Neurospora crassa OR74A: one gene and its partners. The protein of the gene in region 1 interacts with the protein of each later gene in a biochemical or structural test. Links are inferred from orthologs where the notes say so. Each region holds a gene or a part of one and is shown on either strand. Other genes may lie near its edges.

Region 1 (4,810 bases):
CATCGAATCCCTCAGAGAATCCGGCCCTCTAGCCAATGCGCCCAGAGCCTACGGCAAGGCGCTCGATACCTTCACGCCAACCCACTTGTCAAGGCCCATTGGCATGCACAACCCCCCAAATCCCGGAGAGAACACAGGAATCGACACGCGCACACTCCAGCAGAAGAGGGATGACTTTGTCAACTATGAGAAACATCTGAAGAAGCGAGAGATGCTGTGAGAACCCATCCCGACATTGGCCATGTATCTTCATCCTCCTCCCAGCTTCTTGACTAATTAGCGCTATAACATTAGCAAATCCAAAATCTCCCGCCCCTACTTCCGCGACTGGCGCAACATGCAATTTCACAAGGGCAAGACATTCCTCGCGCCGCCACGTCTCTTCAAAGCCGACCTTTCCCTGTACTTTCCCAACTTGCATGGCCGGACACTCGCCAAGGACGATGCGGCCAAGGTCGCCGACACCACACCTCTCCTAGAAGGCCACTGCTCCGTCGTCACCGTCTTCAGCAGCATGTGGGCCGAGAACCAGATCCGTACCTTTGTCTCTCCCGAAGCCAACCCAGTCCTGCAGTCGGTCCTGAAGCAGAGCGGCGGGCGCGCGCAATTGGTGCAGATCAATATTGAAGAGGATGCCATGAAGGCGTGGTTGGTCAGACTGTTTATGGGCTCGCTGCGCAAGAAGGTGGATGAGGACGACTGGAAGAGGTATTTCTTGGTCACAAAGGGGATTACGGACGAGATTCGGGAGTCAATTGGTTTGCTAAACAGCAAGGTTGGCTACACGTATCTGGTGGATCATAACTGCCGAATTCGATGGGCGGGCAGTGGTGATGCGGAGGGAGATGAGAAGGAGGGCCTGATCAAGGGCGTCCAGAGGATTTTGGACGAGATGACCAAGGAGGGTGTTGGGAAGAACTATGTGCGGAAGACAGCGGCTGTCCCTGAGTTGAAGGCAGAAGGGTCTGTTGCGGCGCAATAGGCGACCCGGAATGCCTAGGCGTAAAGATGCATTGAGATGATATGGGTGACAAAGTCTCCATTGCCCAGCTGACGTGTCACAGAGCTTTTGCTGGAACAGAAAAGCAAGGCTCGCCAAGCTCAAGGTTTCTGAGCATCGAATTCCTGCTACAGGGAAGAAGCTAATTGAGCTTACGAGCAAGCAAGTCGGCTCATCGGGGGCTGAGATGGGCGCATTTCAAAATACCACGGACGAACGGGGAAATTCTGGTCTGTTCTGGTCTGGTCTACAGCAGATGCGTCCACGAGCCATGGTTTAACCAGCAAGAATGCCGTGGACTTCTTCTTGGGTTTGTAAATTATATTATTATTTTGTAAAATCACTTTCACACTTACTTGCCTCGCAACGCCCCTGAACGCCGTAATCCCCGCCATGCTTCCCGTCAAAGTACGAAAGCCCGACACTGAAGTAGTGTGTCATGTACAGCCGCTTACGATAAGGGTTCCTGGAAGATGCGATCCTGTCGCGCTTCCAAAGATCCATAGCATGCGCTCAACAAGAAGTGAGCCGCATAACCGTCCTTGAGCAGAATTTCTCCGCTCTCTCATGTTCGTGAAGCGCTCTCCCACTTCGTTCACCACCGCCACTCAGGAGAAGAACCAGAACATCAAGAAGCAGAACGCAATGAATGAGCCCATAATAATGCCATCCCGTCTCTTCCTCGCCGATATCCTCGTGATCAGGGTATTGATTCCGGGCACCTGGCTCGCCGCAAGAGTAATTCGCCGGTTGATGTGCGCCAGCCGCTCTCGCTGGGACGCGAATGAGTCCTGCACCGCGTACGCCTGGCTCAGCACGCTGTCGGCCACATCGTGGCTGCGGTCCAGCCTGCCTCGCTCGTCCAGCATGTAGTCGGCCTCGCCTTGCTCAGGGTTGGCGGCGCGGTATGCCGAGATGTCGTCGCGCACGCTGCCTAGCAGGTTGGCACGCGTGCGGGCCGACTCGAGCGTCGACCGCAATCGGGAGAGGTCCCGCCGGTGGTCCGAGAGCTTGTCGCGCAGAAGGGAGAGGTTGTTCTGCTTGAGCGCTGAGGGGGAGGGGTCCGAGGTTAGGAGGCGGGTGAGGTGGGAGATTACGGACTCGCGCTGAAAAGACCATGTATTAGCAGTGTTCGAATTTATGTAAACAGTTTTACTTGACCTCTAAAAACTTACTTTGTCCAATAGCTCCCGTAGTCTCGTTTCCGTATGCCTTTCCTCTTCTGTCGGCTTCGGTGGGATGTTGGTCTGGTTCGAGAACTGGGCGTATGTGTGGAGGAGCATTTCGGTCTGTAAGAAAATGTTAGTCTCATGCCCTTCCCATTTCCCAAGGCCCATGACCAGTTCAGTCGTACTTGTGTTTCGAGCGATCGGGCTTGTTGTCGTAACTGGGCCCAGCCCTGGGTTGAGGATGTTGTCGCCGCCATGATGCAGTGCTGCTCCTAAGCTATTGGGGCAAGATCGATGAATTTCAACGGATGCGATTCGTCCGAGTTGCCTGAAGGCGGCACTCTTGGCGGGAGGAGAATATGATGTGGTTTGAATTTATAAAATTGTCTGTAATAGTAGTGGTAAGGTTGATCAGGACAGGTCAACCGGTGGAGGATCCTAGATCAGACGTAAATGGTCGTGATGATGATGATTGATGCTTGCACGGCAGAGATGTGGCTTTGTTAGTGGAAGAAGTTCAGTTACGTATCGGCAGGCGCCACAGTTACATGTCCACTGTACCGTAGCGGCCTGGGTCGACTCTTCAGCTGAGCTGCTGCAGAACGACAGAGCTGAAGATAGGGCTTCACCACGTAGGGGACCCGACGATACATTCCATGTCACCTTATGCCAGGTGTCAGCGCCTCGGCACTGGCAGCTGATGCACATCTCAAGAGTCTAGGCCAAGCATGACATCAAGGTTCATACAACTACTATCACGCGAGATATCTGCGGACCGTACCGTTCTCCCGTCTGAACAGTGGTAGACATCAACTGCGGCCGTGAACGTTGGCGCGAGTTCATAACCATCACGGTTGATGACACTGAAGTTGTTGGACGCGGCGGACACGATTAATCAGCACACATATAGACATGCGAGCGAAGATACCTCAGCTATTGTTGAAAGACATATGACAGAAGGGCCAAGCCATGTTTACACGGGCTTTGTAAAGTGCTGATAAATCGCAAAGACTCACCATACAGTCGTCGTAGCTGTTCACTGAATACGTGTGATTCGCAGACATACACCGACGCAATGAGAGACGCAGTTTCGCACATAGAACGCACGAAGGATATCAATGGTCGAGTATGCGGTAGGCGCAGTAAATAGCATCTGTAGGTATTGATCTTCCGCTCTTTGGACGGATCCCTAATCGCATGGTTTGGTGCGATACCAGGAGGAACAGGCTCTCTGCGAGAGTCGAGTGCCTTCACGAGCCCCCTGTACATTGTCATGGGGCGTCCCCAATGCCTCGAGTTTCGCTCGTGACCCGTATCCTCTGCAAACCGAAAGCCGTATTTTACCATCCTGATGACTGTAAACCCTCATAACAGACGCCGTAATGGACCCGAGAACCGTCAACGTCCAAATGCAACTGACCGAGCCATACCGCGAACCGCACCCGCATGCAGTCCCCTAGCACCCATGCCCACAATCTACCACTTCATCTCGTGGGGCTTGTCACCCTTGCGGAGGGTGAAAGAAGAGGCGAGGTAGCTGGCGAGGAACTCGACCTTCTTGATGTTGGCGATGAGGGCCTTGTCGATGGCCTTCTGGTCGGCAACGCGGCTGCTGGAAACCTCCTTCTTCTGCATCACTATGTCAGCATTGTGCGCCCCGTGTTCCAGCTCGGAATTCCCAAGTCGTACCTGGGGCTTCTCGCCCTGCTTGAAGAAAGCCTCCTCACCAGCCTTCTCCTTGGACTTCTCGGCGGTGAAGTACTTGGGCTGAGCGATCTCGTTGATCTTGGCCTCGTCGATGCCAGCGAGATCGACCTTCTGGGAAGTGGCGATGACGTAGCGGGCGTTGACGCGACGGAGGGGAACACCGTTGATCTTGAAAGGGCCGGTGACGAGAAGAACACCCTGGTCGAGAGCCTTGAGGAGGACGACGCGCTTGCCACGGAAACGGCCAGCGAGGAGGATCAGGACGGTGCCGGGGACGAGGGTGCTGCGGGGAGACCACGGGCGGATGGTCTTGCGGACCTGTAGAGAACATGGTAGTTAGAATCAGTTGTATTCGCAGAGTTTGGGAATGTCCGCCTCTTGTCGTCGCCTCCACGACATGCACTTTGCGGTCCAAAGTCCAAAATCGCAGCAAGTGCTGCCGCCCTCCACTTGCGCCCTGGTTGTCCCCATTTCCGCGCCAAATCGATAACCGCCAAACCGGCCGCAATTCCACCAAGTGCATCTCGCGATACTTCGCCAAAAACGTCGCCGGTCGCTTGGAAAACTTGTGCATGCACGTACCTTGCGAGGCTGGGCCTCATCCTCAGCAGGGTACCATTTCTGGGCCTTCTCGGACGAGTGAGGGACCGTCCGGGTCGCCTTGCCAAAGGTCTTCGTCTGGGGAGCCGCCGCGGACGACATTGTGTGGACTTTGGCTGGGTGGTGAGGTTAGTGCAGAATCGTCGTCAACTTCCTGACTGCTGCTCGAGATTTTAGAAATGTTGGAGTGGCCCCGGTTGTGTGCATGTTACGAAGACCCAAACCCCAAGCTAACCGCATTGGGATTTTGCGGGACCGTTCACCTTTGGCAGGCGGCAACGCACGGGCCACCTCGGAAACGGTAGGGTTTTCCGCCCTCCCTGCGATTTTGCGC
Region 2 (4,295 bases), on another chromosome or scaffold:
CAGAATGCTGAGGAGAGGAGCGGCTTGCGGCGGGGGGCGCTCGGCTCCTGAAAGGAGCTCCTTGGCGGAAACCTGACGACCATAGAGCTTTGCATTGGCGTCTTTTCGCTCGATTATCATAGAACCTTCGAGAGACACGCCAGCAAACAAGCCCTTGGTCTTGGAATAACTGAAGATGCCCGCTACGCTTCTCAGCGAAGCGGCTCCGGCGGCCTCGGCATTTCTACCGACAGGCCCGGCCGCGACCGAAACGTTACCACCAAGTGTAAGTGACCCAGCTTGGGCGAAGGTTTTTACGGCGCTCGCGTCGTTGAGAATGAAAACGAAATCTGTAAGCTCGAAACCGATCTGACCGCCGAAGCCGGCACCACCCGTAGCAATGGCGGTGGGGGCAGACCAGCTGCCGTCGGGGAGGCGGGCGACTACCAGGCCGCTACCGAAACGGGCAGATCCGAGGAAACCAGCTTTGATGACGGTGAGTATAGCAAGACCCTAGGAGAACGTTAACCACCTGGTCGCTTTCGTTGAGGTTGCGGATGCTGTTTCGTACCTTGGCATTCGCGAGCACTGATGGCGGTATCACCTTGTCGGGACCAAAGGCTTGTTTGGGCTCGATGAAGGAGGCGAGGATTTTACCGCACTTCTTACATTCCGCTGGTTACAGACGTGTTAGGATGTCGGATTCGGCGAAGCGAAGGGGAGTTGCGGGGTCGGGCTCGCACAGCACGGGAACCCCGGGGACACAAACTCACACGAAAGTGACGACGGAAGAGGGTTGTTGATACCCATCTTGAAGTGTCGAAGCGGAACTCCCTATAGCGGACTGGCGCGGGTCTTGAAGGGCGAGGGCGTGTAGAGCGGCTGCGGTGAGAATGCCGTGGAAATGCGACAGCGACAGCGAAATATTAGAAAGAAAGAAAGAGATGGAGTTCGTCAGTCATTTCTCGGGACACTGGCCGATCAATGCCTGCAGGCACACTGGCAGGCAAGCAAGTAAGCAGATCAGCCCGGTCAATTTCTTGTGTACATAGTAAATGCGAGGTTGGTACCTGGGCGTCCCCACAACGGCGGTTTGTCAAGATGCTGGGGAGATCCTTGGGGTCACTTGTTGTTCGTGATGAACGATCTTGTTCCCGGAGGATAAGCCTTTGTGCGTGCTCTTTTGTTGGTGTAACTGTCCGTTTGAGAGTTTGTTTTTTTCCCTCTTCTTCACAGATCGGAGTAACTGATGAGCGAGGCTAAACAGTGGCATGGAATTCATCACAGTCAACATTTGAAATGGAAGTACTTGGAAATGGAAGCTGGAGCTCGTGCCGCGCGTCATGTGAGAACTGTAGCACTGGACCCTCAATCACTGGAGACGCTGGGATGGGCTTGGGCAAGCACTGCCGCCGTGGGCTGTGCAGTAGCGTACACTACTGTACCTCTACTTCTCTACTTTACTCCGTCCCTGCGCCCTGCACCTTCCACTTTGAATACCCGGGCCTTGTCCAGCGGGCAGAGCAGAGCGGGCGTTCGTCGTTACGTAGGTGACTGACTGACGGGACCCAAAGTTGCAGTGGCCCGACCACGAGCACAATCAAATGGCTCCAGCAGGCTCCGCTCCCCCCGAAAAAGACCCCGCATTGACCATGCATGTGCTTTACGCGCAGCCACACGTAAATGGCCGAAACTGACATCATTCGCGACTAGGAGGCCGTAGCTGTGGCTGGTGTATGCATCAACAAGCTGCAGTGAGCCGGCCGCCCCCATCATGATGGATGCATGATCCCGGTGTCCTTTCATTGTGACCCTGAACTGAGTGCATCTGGAACCTGCTACAACCTACCCCCTTTTGACATCCCCATAGCACTCAGCAATACCTAGGAACACCACGGCTTCACTCCGAACAACGGACGCTGCAAGACACCGAAGCCGACCCCCGCGCGCGCGACAAAATAACACGTAATAACATCTTCGATAATACGAAACTCGGGCCATATCAGCGAGTTCCAATTAACCCGATACTCAAAACTGACGAGTGAACCTCCCACACGGCCGCTGAGCGAGTCGCAACATACAACTACGACCACAACACAACCCCCCCCCATTACCATTATCAAGATGTCCGCAAACTACGAGCGCGAGCGCCAAAATAATGCGCGCCTCGACGAGCTAGCCTCCAAGGTTTCTGCCCTTCGAGGTGTAACGATTGACATTTACGACCAGGCGCGCAACCACGAAGTTATCGACCAAACGGTACGGTTCCTTTGATTTTACTCTGCACAAAATAACAAACTGACAAGTCCCACCAACAACGAACAGACCGATACCTTCTCCTCCATGGGCTCTCAACTCAAAGGTTCCGCCACCCGTCTAGGCCGCATGGCCGCATCGGGGAACAAGGTCGCCATTCTCAAGCTCTCGGGTATTCTTATTGGGAGCTTCCTGGTCATTTACTATCTTTATCGACTTTTTGTTGGTTAAATGATTCAAAAAGTCACGACGTGTGAGAGGGCTAAAGTCGTTTGAATATTGGGTCTATTGGGTCTATTGAACTTCGACATGCGAATACATGCCAGGAAGCAAAAGGAAGGGAGGTTCTCTTCATCGGGTTCACTACAACAACACAGGGCGAAGGATGTAGAGGGCGGCACGATTCGATTCCCGACAAATATCAGGAATGATAAGACGGATGCGTGCGAAGCCGGACATCAAGACAGGATGGAGCTTGTCCGGATAGCTTGTTGGATGTTGGAGTGCTGGTACAGGCGATGTGCAGTCCGCTTGCTCCCACAAAAGCCGCTACTAGTATTGCGCAGAGGAGGTGCAATGTAGGGTGGGGCAATGGGTGGGAGGGTAGCAGGTCACGCAGGACCGTAGGTCTGTGTTTTGGTGGATTCTGAACGAAGTGTGGATTTTGGTTTACAGACTGGGCTTAATGTTTTGTCTCGACAACAGACGGGTAGATGCAAAGGCATAGCAATGGCGTTGACGGTTCGGTTTTGTTTGTTTATTTGGGATTTGGTTTCTGCGTACCTTAGGTTGTCATTGATACGTCGTGTCGTATAAGCCAGACATCGACATTTCTCAGTCTCATCCTTGATTTTTCATTTTGAAACTTCAAGGACATCAGAAGGACATTAATGAGGGCAACACACACCTTACAAAAGATAGGAGGATCCTATATAAAAGTGCATTACTTTTGCCCTACCAACGAACAATAACTTGTTGTCTATAATGTAAATATGCCAAAACAAAACATGACTTGCTGATGTAAGAATGACTGCGTTGTTCATCATTCCCCTATTTGTCACGCATAAACCATCATTTGCCTAACTCTTAACTAGATCAGACTCCCACAGCATAAGTACGACATGGTGTTCGTGGATAGCATCCCCTTTCCAGTCAGGTGGTATAGAAGGAAAAACAAGTTCGGACGCTTGATGGGTTTGGTTTGGTTTGGTATAAGTTTGTCCGAGCTATTTCTCACATCACCTGCCGGTTGATTATATATTTACATGGTCGGCATCAGGCGCGAGGACAACAGCAAAAATCCCAGTAGACTGCACTCGGTTACCTCTGAACCCCATGTCGGAGATCCCTGAATTGTCGTTCTAAGGTTTCTTATTGCCAGACGTTTGAGAACAGGTCGTCACTGCCACCAAAACCGGTAGCCGGCTTGGATCCGCTCGGAGCAGCTGGTGTGGTAGTGCTGCTCATCCAGCCCCCAAACTCCTCATCGGCCGCCACCTTTGGTGCTGGGGCAAAGCCGCCCGAAGCGCTGGGGACAATAGGTTGGCTTGCGAAGGAGCCGCCGGTAGTGGAGGAGGTGGTGGTGCTGTTGCCCCATCCAAAATCGTTAGAAAGAGGGATAGAGGTAACAGGTGCTGGCTTGGGCGGTTCAGGAGCCGCAGGCTTGGGGGGCTCAGGGGCGGAGGCCCACTCGTTGGAACCCCATACACCTGCATCTGACCAGGCGTTAGACGTCGCAATAGAGGCAAGAGGGTTTGGTGTTGTTGAAGTAACGGCTGCAGGGGCCGGCGTGGTTGCGGCGGGCTTGGAAAGGTTGAATGCGGAGCTGAAGTCAGATGAAGGCTTCGGGGCGGCGGCCGAGGGAGGAGCGGTAGTAGCAGTAGCTGTTGTGGAAAAGTCAAACAGGTCACCGAGGGCGGAGGAAGCGGGCGCGGGCTTAGAGGCTGGCGCAGGAGGAGGGGTTGATGAGAAGCCCAGTGGGCTGCTGATGGACTGCTTGGATTGGTGGGAGGATGTGGCGGGCTTGGAATCGAAGAAGCTGCCACCGCTTAGGCCGGAAA
Region 3 (3,196 bases), on another chromosome or scaffold:
CCACATTGCCCCCGTCCCTGGCGATTGGCTGGCGAGGATATGGTGTCCCTACTGCGACGAATACACGTACGTGGACCAGGGTGAGGACAGCGAGGACGAGGTCAAGTGGGCACAGGACGAGAGGGGGTTCGAGGACTTGGCCAGCTTCCAGGAGCATTTGGAATGGTATCATACGGCGTTGCCGGTGCCGAGTATACCGGCGTTATTGCCAAAGGCGGCGGGGAGTTGTTTGATTATGTGATTGAGGCTTGCGGGTGCGTGTGCGGGTGGTTCAAGCTTGGGCTTAGTGTCCAGGGTGTCGGTTTATGTTCTGGATTGAGAACAACAAAATTGAAAAAAAGAAAAAAAAAAAAAAACGGGTTTGGAATTGGAGTTTGGGGGGGCAAGAGCTTCTACTTCAAGTAGGGAAAGAGACCGATAGGCTATCTCAGATGGAGATTTTGTATCATCGCTTGACAGAAATAGCGTGTCGAGCAGAAGAGATGCCGGTCTGGAATGAACCAGGAGATACGCATGATTGAGCATCGGTGACACTGTGGTACAGTCATCCATAGAGACCTTGTCAGGCTTTAGGAAGGCATCGGATGAAGGAGTGGAAAGCAGGAACCTATAAGCAACATGTCTTGATAGCTGAAACCTCACCTGGCCAAACGTCCTTTTGCGTTTGCCCCCCTTTCCCCCCAACCTCCTTTACCCAAACTCCATGCTAGGTCAAGCGCCAAAAACCAATGCCCTACAAACACATATTAAAATAATTACAGAATCCACGTAGGCTATCCGTCACAGCATCATACAGAGCCAGGCTGACTGAGGAAACCCACCCGACGGTATCATGCTAACCCGCTACCGGTGATGCTCCCTGCCTGGGATGCACTCAAAAGAAGAATCTCCACCACAAGAAGAAGATGATAATGGAACCGACCGCCGCAAAGGGGCCGTACTGCTTCAGCAGCAAATCCCAGTTGATCTTAACAGCCGCCCTCTTGTACTTCTTGCTATCGTCCCTCAGCCTACTGCTCAGCTCGCCCATGCGCTCCAGGCTGTCGCCGCGGTACAGCAGATCCTCAATGTTCTTGGTCATGACTTTGGTCACGTCCCTAAGCTCATCATGCAGCTTATCCAGGTTCTGAGTCGCACGCGTGTCGCTGTAAGTCGCCTTGGTGCGGCTGATGAAGCTGTCAAAGTCCATAAAGGCATAGGGCCGCAGCGTCGGGTTCATGAGCTGTGCCGGGGTGTGCGTCGTCGCGAACTCGCCCGCAATGTCGGAAAGGTAGGTGAAGGCTAGCTTGCGCGGGTACGACCGGTCCGTAATGGCGAAGTATACGATGTCGGACTGAATCAGGTAGTGCAGCGTGTAGAGAGAGCCGCTCTCGATGCTGGCTTGCGGTTCCGAGGTGCGCGTTAGGCGGCGCAGAATTAGTTTGACTTGGGACTTGACTTCGCTGAGGGAGGATTCAGTTGCTTCGTCGTCGACGGAAGCGCAGAGCATGAGGCCTGTGTTTTGAGGGGAGGGGTCTTGGTTAGCTACCGGACAAGACATTGACATCTCCATAGGCACACAGATGTTGGTCGAGGGGGTTAGTTAGGGGGGGGGGGGGGGGGGGCACGAACCATCCAGCCGTGCAATTTGTGTTGAGCGGATCATTGTGAAGAATAGGTTATATCACTCCTTTTTCATTGTGTTGTTTTTGGCGACCTTTAGTATCGTTGTGCAACTCGAAATCAAGGCCAGTTCAGTTGCGTGCTTGGATTTGTTAAGTTGGTGTCGTTGGAGAGGACAGTGAACAAGGCAAGGTTTATAAAAGCTTGTGATGACGAGTGGGAGTGATCCGTCAAAAGCAGCCAGGTACGTGGCTTCTACCTAGGTACCGCAACCAACTCGCACCGACGAATTCTCTTGTTCAATTGCATGCTTCTTTCCCTGTCGACCAGCAGACCAGATTGTAATTCGCTATCCTCTTTCTTGTTTTTTTTTTTTCTTTACATGGCTATATAAAGAAAACAAAACATTACCCGTAGGTAGAGTGATGCAATGATTTCGCCAGGCCAACGTGTGTTTCCTTATCAAGGATTACAAGTCGTCAAACGGGACACTGATGACGGTACTGCCGCTGGAAATGTGTTGAAAGTTCACCCTGCAGGGCCTGCAAGTTAGTTTTGTTTAGGTAGTTAAATAGTGCGAGCAGGCAGTCTCGCCCGGCCCGCTATTCACGCCTACTATGCAGTATGTACAAGCTACCTCTAGCTTCCGGGGTGTGTCATGCAAGTGGCTGCCCGGGCTTGGCGCCTTTCAGCTTCCATCCCCACCCATCCTGTCCATCACACAACGACTTGAAGAAGGAGCATCTTCAACCGAACAACATCGGGGAAGGGGAGCTGGAGGTGGAATATCTACCTACTTACCTAGAGGTACCTATCATTCATCACAGTCAGTATAATCCCCCTCCCAGTTCAGAGTGGTGGTTAGATCAAGTTCAGTTCCACCTCGTTCCCTCGCACATCCTCCCAACCTTGCGCGTCAACTTGTACTCAAGGTAGTACCACTTCGGTTCGTTTCGTTGACCACATTTTCACCTGAACGCATCTCATTCTCTACTTTTATAAACCCCCCACTTTCTCCCCTCCCTTCCACCAGACATCAGTTTGTTCGCAGATGTAACCACAGCCATATTGGCCGCATGAACCATCATTGACTTACGAAAGACAAACGGTGACTTTCACGGCGCCATTCTGCCAGTTTCTGCTATCTGGTATTGTTTAATATCACAACAACTAAGTAGTTCCGGATCTGTCTAGATCCAGATCTGACTTGACGGTAATTTTTCCTTTGCCGGCAAACCCACACTGCCGCGTTCGATCACTCCTTGAACAACTTCAACACGCAATAATTATCTTTCCAGAAAGGCGACTAACTGAAGGTGTCCTGAAGGATGGCTGAAGAAGGAAGTAGTTCTCCGCTGTCCTCCGTCCTCTCTTCTCCTCCGGCCTCACCTCCCCGGAGCGTGAGTGGGGACTGGGATGCTATCCTTGTCCAAAAGATTGATACTGCTGCGCAGGTGACTTTGGAGGAGATAGCAGCCGAAAAGTCAACGGTCGAGGAACCAGCAGTTGAGGAACCAGCAGTCGAGGAACCAGCAGTCGAGGAACCAGCAGTCGAGGAACCAGCAGTCGAGGAACCAGCAGTCGAGGAACCAGC
Region 4 (3,628 bases), on another chromosome or scaffold:
AAGGCGCGACATCAGGTAGGAGCGCCTCTGCCACCCCGCACATTTACAGTCTCAGTTTCCTATGATGTTGTTCGAACCCCAGCTTGCATCCAACGTCTGTAGTGCACATGAGTAGACGCCGACGGAGCCGATATAAGATCGGCATGGAGGAAGATCCGTACGCAATGCCGCCATCATCGATCAGCTCAATTGATGCTGCTGCGTAGTCTTGTAGTTTGAATCTCAACGTTTCCATTCATATCTTCAAAAGAGTCTTTTTGGCTGGGCTAGCTTGAGAGGGATAACAACCCCTAGAATATACCATAGTGTACATTAGTTACGACTCGCACAGTTTACGCCACTACGGCGTGGCGGACAAGGTCGTCATCACTGCAACCGAATGTCGTGACTGGGGAACCCGACCGCTTCGCTTGTGTCGGCCCATCACATAATCTTTGAGGGCGGATGTCGTATGAAACTAACGGGTATGCAAGAAACGGAGCGAAGATCTCTCAGATAAGTGCGCAGCCTCGGGTTCGACACATAACAAATCTATAACAGGACTACCTACATCTGGTAGTCGAAGTATGTATTTCACAGCTTTAGCGCCAAACAGTGGTCAATCTTTCACAGTTTCGGGTATGTACCACACAACAATGAATATGAGAAAGGGTATATTGCAGGTTGAATTAGAAGTTTAGCATTCTCAGAGCCCACGAAGCCGTCAAGGTAAGTGGCTTTCACATATCCAAAGCGGCTACTGTAAGGCCCTCTGTCGTCAGTAGCCAAACTGCAACCTGCGCGGAAACCAAAAGCTGAATTAGAAGAGACCCCCACCAGTGCCTCGAAGACAACGAGGGGTCAGTCGCTCTTTGTATTTGGGTAGGGGGAACGTTGCGGTCGATGGCATATATCAGTGCGGCTGACTAAAAGCGAAGACAGTCGCGCGTGGTTGGTTGGTATTGATGAACGATCTTTACATAACCAGGCAGCACGAGTTCTGCTTCTTCGCACTCTGGTAGAACATCTTGCTCTGCGCACTCAGGTCGGAACTCTTGGCAACCAGGTCGTCGAGCTTCTCGCCTCGTTGCAAAACCTAAAACTAGGTTAGCATGTTATATAGAGCATTGCTACCCTCTGTGAATGGACATACGCTATCAATTGCCTTGTGTAGGACGATCTTGGTCTCGTCGAGCTCTTGCTGGATCTTTGCAATGCTGCTCGCGTTGTTGGCATCTTGGTAGTCGCGAAGGTACTGCTCGATGGCCGGGAAAGGGATGTCGCCGTCGTTCTTGGCGGCGTTTATCGTGGCAACCGGCTTCTCCGAGAGAAACTGGTCCATGAGCTTGGAAAGGACACTGTGGGCGGCGATAGGAGGGTAGTCCTTGGTGATGACGACACCGCAAACACCCTCGGAGCGGGCATAGGCGTGGATAATATAATCTGTTCGGACACCACCTAGTCAGCTAGGCACATGTATGCGAGCAGAGAGTTCACCATAGACGCACCTTGCTCCTCAACACTTTGCCTCTGGCCAGGCTTCGTCCTCTCTGCGACAGTCCTGCTGATCATGGTCATGAAGTTCTTGTATTGGTCTCGTGTGAACCTGGAGAAGTCGCTAAGCTCGTGGGCACCGCAGAGCTGCACCGCAGGCTGCTCGGTGTTTTTGTAGATCTTGTTCGCGGTCAGCAGGTACCTTCTTGTACCCCCTATGAAAGCAGCCGTATCTTACACCAATGTAGTAGAGCTTCATGGTAGCGGTATTTGAAACGTCCCCGAGGTTTTGTTGTGGTCGTGTTTCAGAGCTTTGGCGCAAATCAGGCGAGTATCGCTGTTGATGGTTCCTGACTGTACACGATGATGTTGATGTCTCGCGTTGGGATAGAGAGAGCCGATGTGATGGCGTGGGGAGCAATGAGGTCTGGAATTGCCGAATCGTAGGGTTCGTCGTTAGATTAGGTTAATGGATTGTAAGTTGCGATGGTTTGGTCAAGGAAGCGCGTCGCTGTGTCGGTCGTGGTTCGGGCTCGACGATTGTCGATGGATTAGGGGGAGGGGTTTGATAGACGACGCGCGATCGATGGCGGCAATGGCGATGCGATGAGGTATCGATGGAATCAAGCTGTTGTTCGAGGCTGAATGGCGATGTGTCGAAGCCAACCACAGCCGTCCGCTTCTTGTTGGGCCAGGCCATCGAGACCCATGCCCTCTGGGCTGGAACAGCACCGTCAGGCGGGCGTCGGCCAAACACCGCCCCGCTAGCACATGTTAGTGCCAATGCTACTATAGGAAGACCTTGTCCTAACACGGGCTCTTGTTGCATCTCCGTGTCCTTTCATTTGCTTTTTGTTCAACCATGATTGACATGTGCAATGACGACTAAGACGACTACTCAGATCCCTACAATCGCACTTGTCAAGAACATCTTCCTGGAACATTGAACAAAAGTTTCCAAGGGGACGGACTGATGATGTGGAAGGTGATTAGAAAGCACAAACAGAACAAGCGGAACGCCGGCCCATGCTTCTAACGAGGTTTCCTGAAGCGAAAAAAGGGTCTTTGGTGTACAGTGTTCACCCGCGAAGCGAATATGTTTGACATGCACTCTGCTCCGAGTCTGGAAGGGATCGCGGACCTCTCAACGAGTATTACCCCTATGAGGCACATAGTATATGATTCCACGACTACCCAGTATAAAATACTATGGAGCAAAACTCCTTCGAGTCAGACGGATGGGATCGATGCCTTGAATGACCTTTTCGAGAACAAAGTCATCGATCCTCTCCACCAGGTCCGGATATTACACCGCGCGGATTTCCACCTCGTGTCGGATCTCGAAGCCTTTCGGGTACATATCATTCATGGTCGCACAAATGTAACTACACACATATGACCATCGAACCGCCTTGCCCACGCGTCTGTACATCACCAATAATGTAAAGCTGGACATGAACTTCTGGCCGAGAGATCGTCAGACTGGTGAAGCTAGAAGTCTTCCTACCAAAAGTTGACCTTGATGGAACAACAACCATCAAGACCCGTAGTCGTAGTGTATGTAATGACGAGGAGATGGCTCAAAGAGGAAAACCAAGCCGTAGTGTAGTGTACTATGTAGTGTAGTGTCGTGTAGACAAGCCTAGGAAAGAGACAGGGGGGGTTCGTGAAGTGGCCGGCACATGCGTCGGTTCCTCCTTCCACCTACACTACACCAGATTTGGACGCCGGCGATGCCTGTGGTGCTCCACCGCTTTTTGCACCGATTAGGACAAGCCCAGTGAGCTGTGGCTCTTCGCCATTCGTTTCCCCAGCGATCTCACTCTGCCGTCGCGGTGCCGTTCGCTTGTGAGATGGAAGAGGAACGGGCGGGATGCTGGGGGACGTTGGGACGGCGACGAAGCGCAGTGGACACTAGACTCTCTGCAGTGGGTTCGCAGTGCAGTGGGTGGGTGGACCCGCTGCTGCAGACCAGGGCCGAGCCAATCCCATTGGCTTTAAAGGCAAGTCCAGGGTGCAACGTCTTGCCGGGCAGTCGGGCGTAACCTGGACAGGAACCATCGTTCGCTCTTGGCTCGCTTGGCTCGCACTCGTCTGCTCCGTTGATTGACGAAGTCGACCTTCCCGACGCGACCTCGTCCCCCCTGGTCAGCTT

Evidence for each region. The genes of interacting proteins can lie anywhere in the genome.
Region 2: the proteins of NCU02706 (region 1) and NCU03889 form a complex in vitro, tested with the Saccharomyces cerevisiae proteins (2 studies listed by BioGRID). The link is inferred for Neurospora crassa OR74A from reciprocal best matches to the Saccharomyces cerevisiae genes GOS1 and SFT1.
Region 3: the proteins of NCU02706 (region 1) and NCU06708 form a complex in vitro, tested with the Saccharomyces cerevisiae proteins (2 studies listed by BioGRID). The link is inferred for Neurospora crassa OR74A from reciprocal best matches to the Saccharomyces cerevisiae genes GOS1 and SEC22.
Region 4: the proteins of NCU02706 (region 1) and NCU08973 form a complex in vitro, tested with the Saccharomyces cerevisiae proteins (2 studies listed by BioGRID). The link is inferred for Neurospora crassa OR74A from reciprocal best matches to the Saccharomyces cerevisiae genes GOS1 and YKT6.

What each region holds. Positions count from the first base shown.
Region 1 is NC_026501.1:3,263,111-3,267,920, forward strand, and holds NCU02706 (protein transporter GOS1), read right to left. Parts: upstream 2,746-4,810; 5' UTR 2,427-2,745; coding exon 2,355-2,426; intron 2,290-2,354; coding exon 2,176-2,289; intron 2,107-2,175; coding exon 1,609-2,106; 3' UTR 1,221-1,608; downstream 1-1,220. Other genes in the region: NCU02705 (F1F0 ATP synthase assembly protein Atp10), read left to right, coding at 1-216, 295-982; NCU02707 (60S ribosomal protein L6), read right to left, coding at 3,646-3,798, 3,859-4,194, 4,459-4,578. UniProt on the Saccharomyces cerevisiae protein: Involved in transport from the ER to the Golgi apparatus as well as in intra-Golgi transport. It belongs to a super-family of proteins called t-SNAREs or soluble NSF (N-ethylmaleimide-sensitive factor) attachment protein receptor.
Region 2 is NC_026506.1:2,053,105-2,057,399, forward strand, and holds NCU03889 (SNARE), read left to right. Parts: upstream 1-1,495; 5' UTR 1,496-2,103; coding exon 2,104-2,238; intron 2,239-2,304; coding exon 2,305-2,466; 3' UTR 2,467-3,606; downstream 3,607-4,295. Other genes in the region: NCU03888 (DUF500 and SH3 domain-containing protein), read right to left, coding at 1-492, 551-654, 753-789; NCU03890 (stromal membrane-associated protein), read right to left, coding at 3,607-4,295. UniProt on the Saccharomyces cerevisiae protein: Vesicle SNARE required for retrograde transport within the Golgi complex.
Region 3 is NC_026505.1:4,347,980-4,351,175, reverse strand, and holds NCU06708 (protein transporter sec22), read right to left. Parts: upstream 1,808-3,196; 5' UTR 1,646-1,807; coding exon 1,612-1,645; intron 1,495-1,611; coding exon 875-1,494; 3' UTR 501-874; downstream 1-500. Other genes in the region: NCU06709 (hypothetical protein), read left to right, coding at 1-241; NCU06707 (uncharacterized protein), read left to right, coding at 2,931-3,196. UniProt on the Saccharomyces cerevisiae protein: Nonessential SNARE involved in targeting and fusion of ER-derived transport vesicles with the Golgi complex as well as Golgi-derived retrograde transport vesicles with the ER.
Region 4 is NC_026503.1:4,097,510-4,101,137, forward strand, and holds NCU08973 (SNARE protein Ykt6), read right to left. Parts: upstream 2,175-3,628; 5' UTR 1,733-2,174; coding exon 1,712-1,732; intron 1,654-1,711; coding exon 1,488-1,653; intron 1,423-1,487; coding exon 1,133-1,422; intron 1,076-1,132; coding exon 956-1,075; 3' UTR 501-955; downstream 1-500. Other genes in the region: NCU16686 (hypothetical protein), read right to left, coding at 3,293-3,628.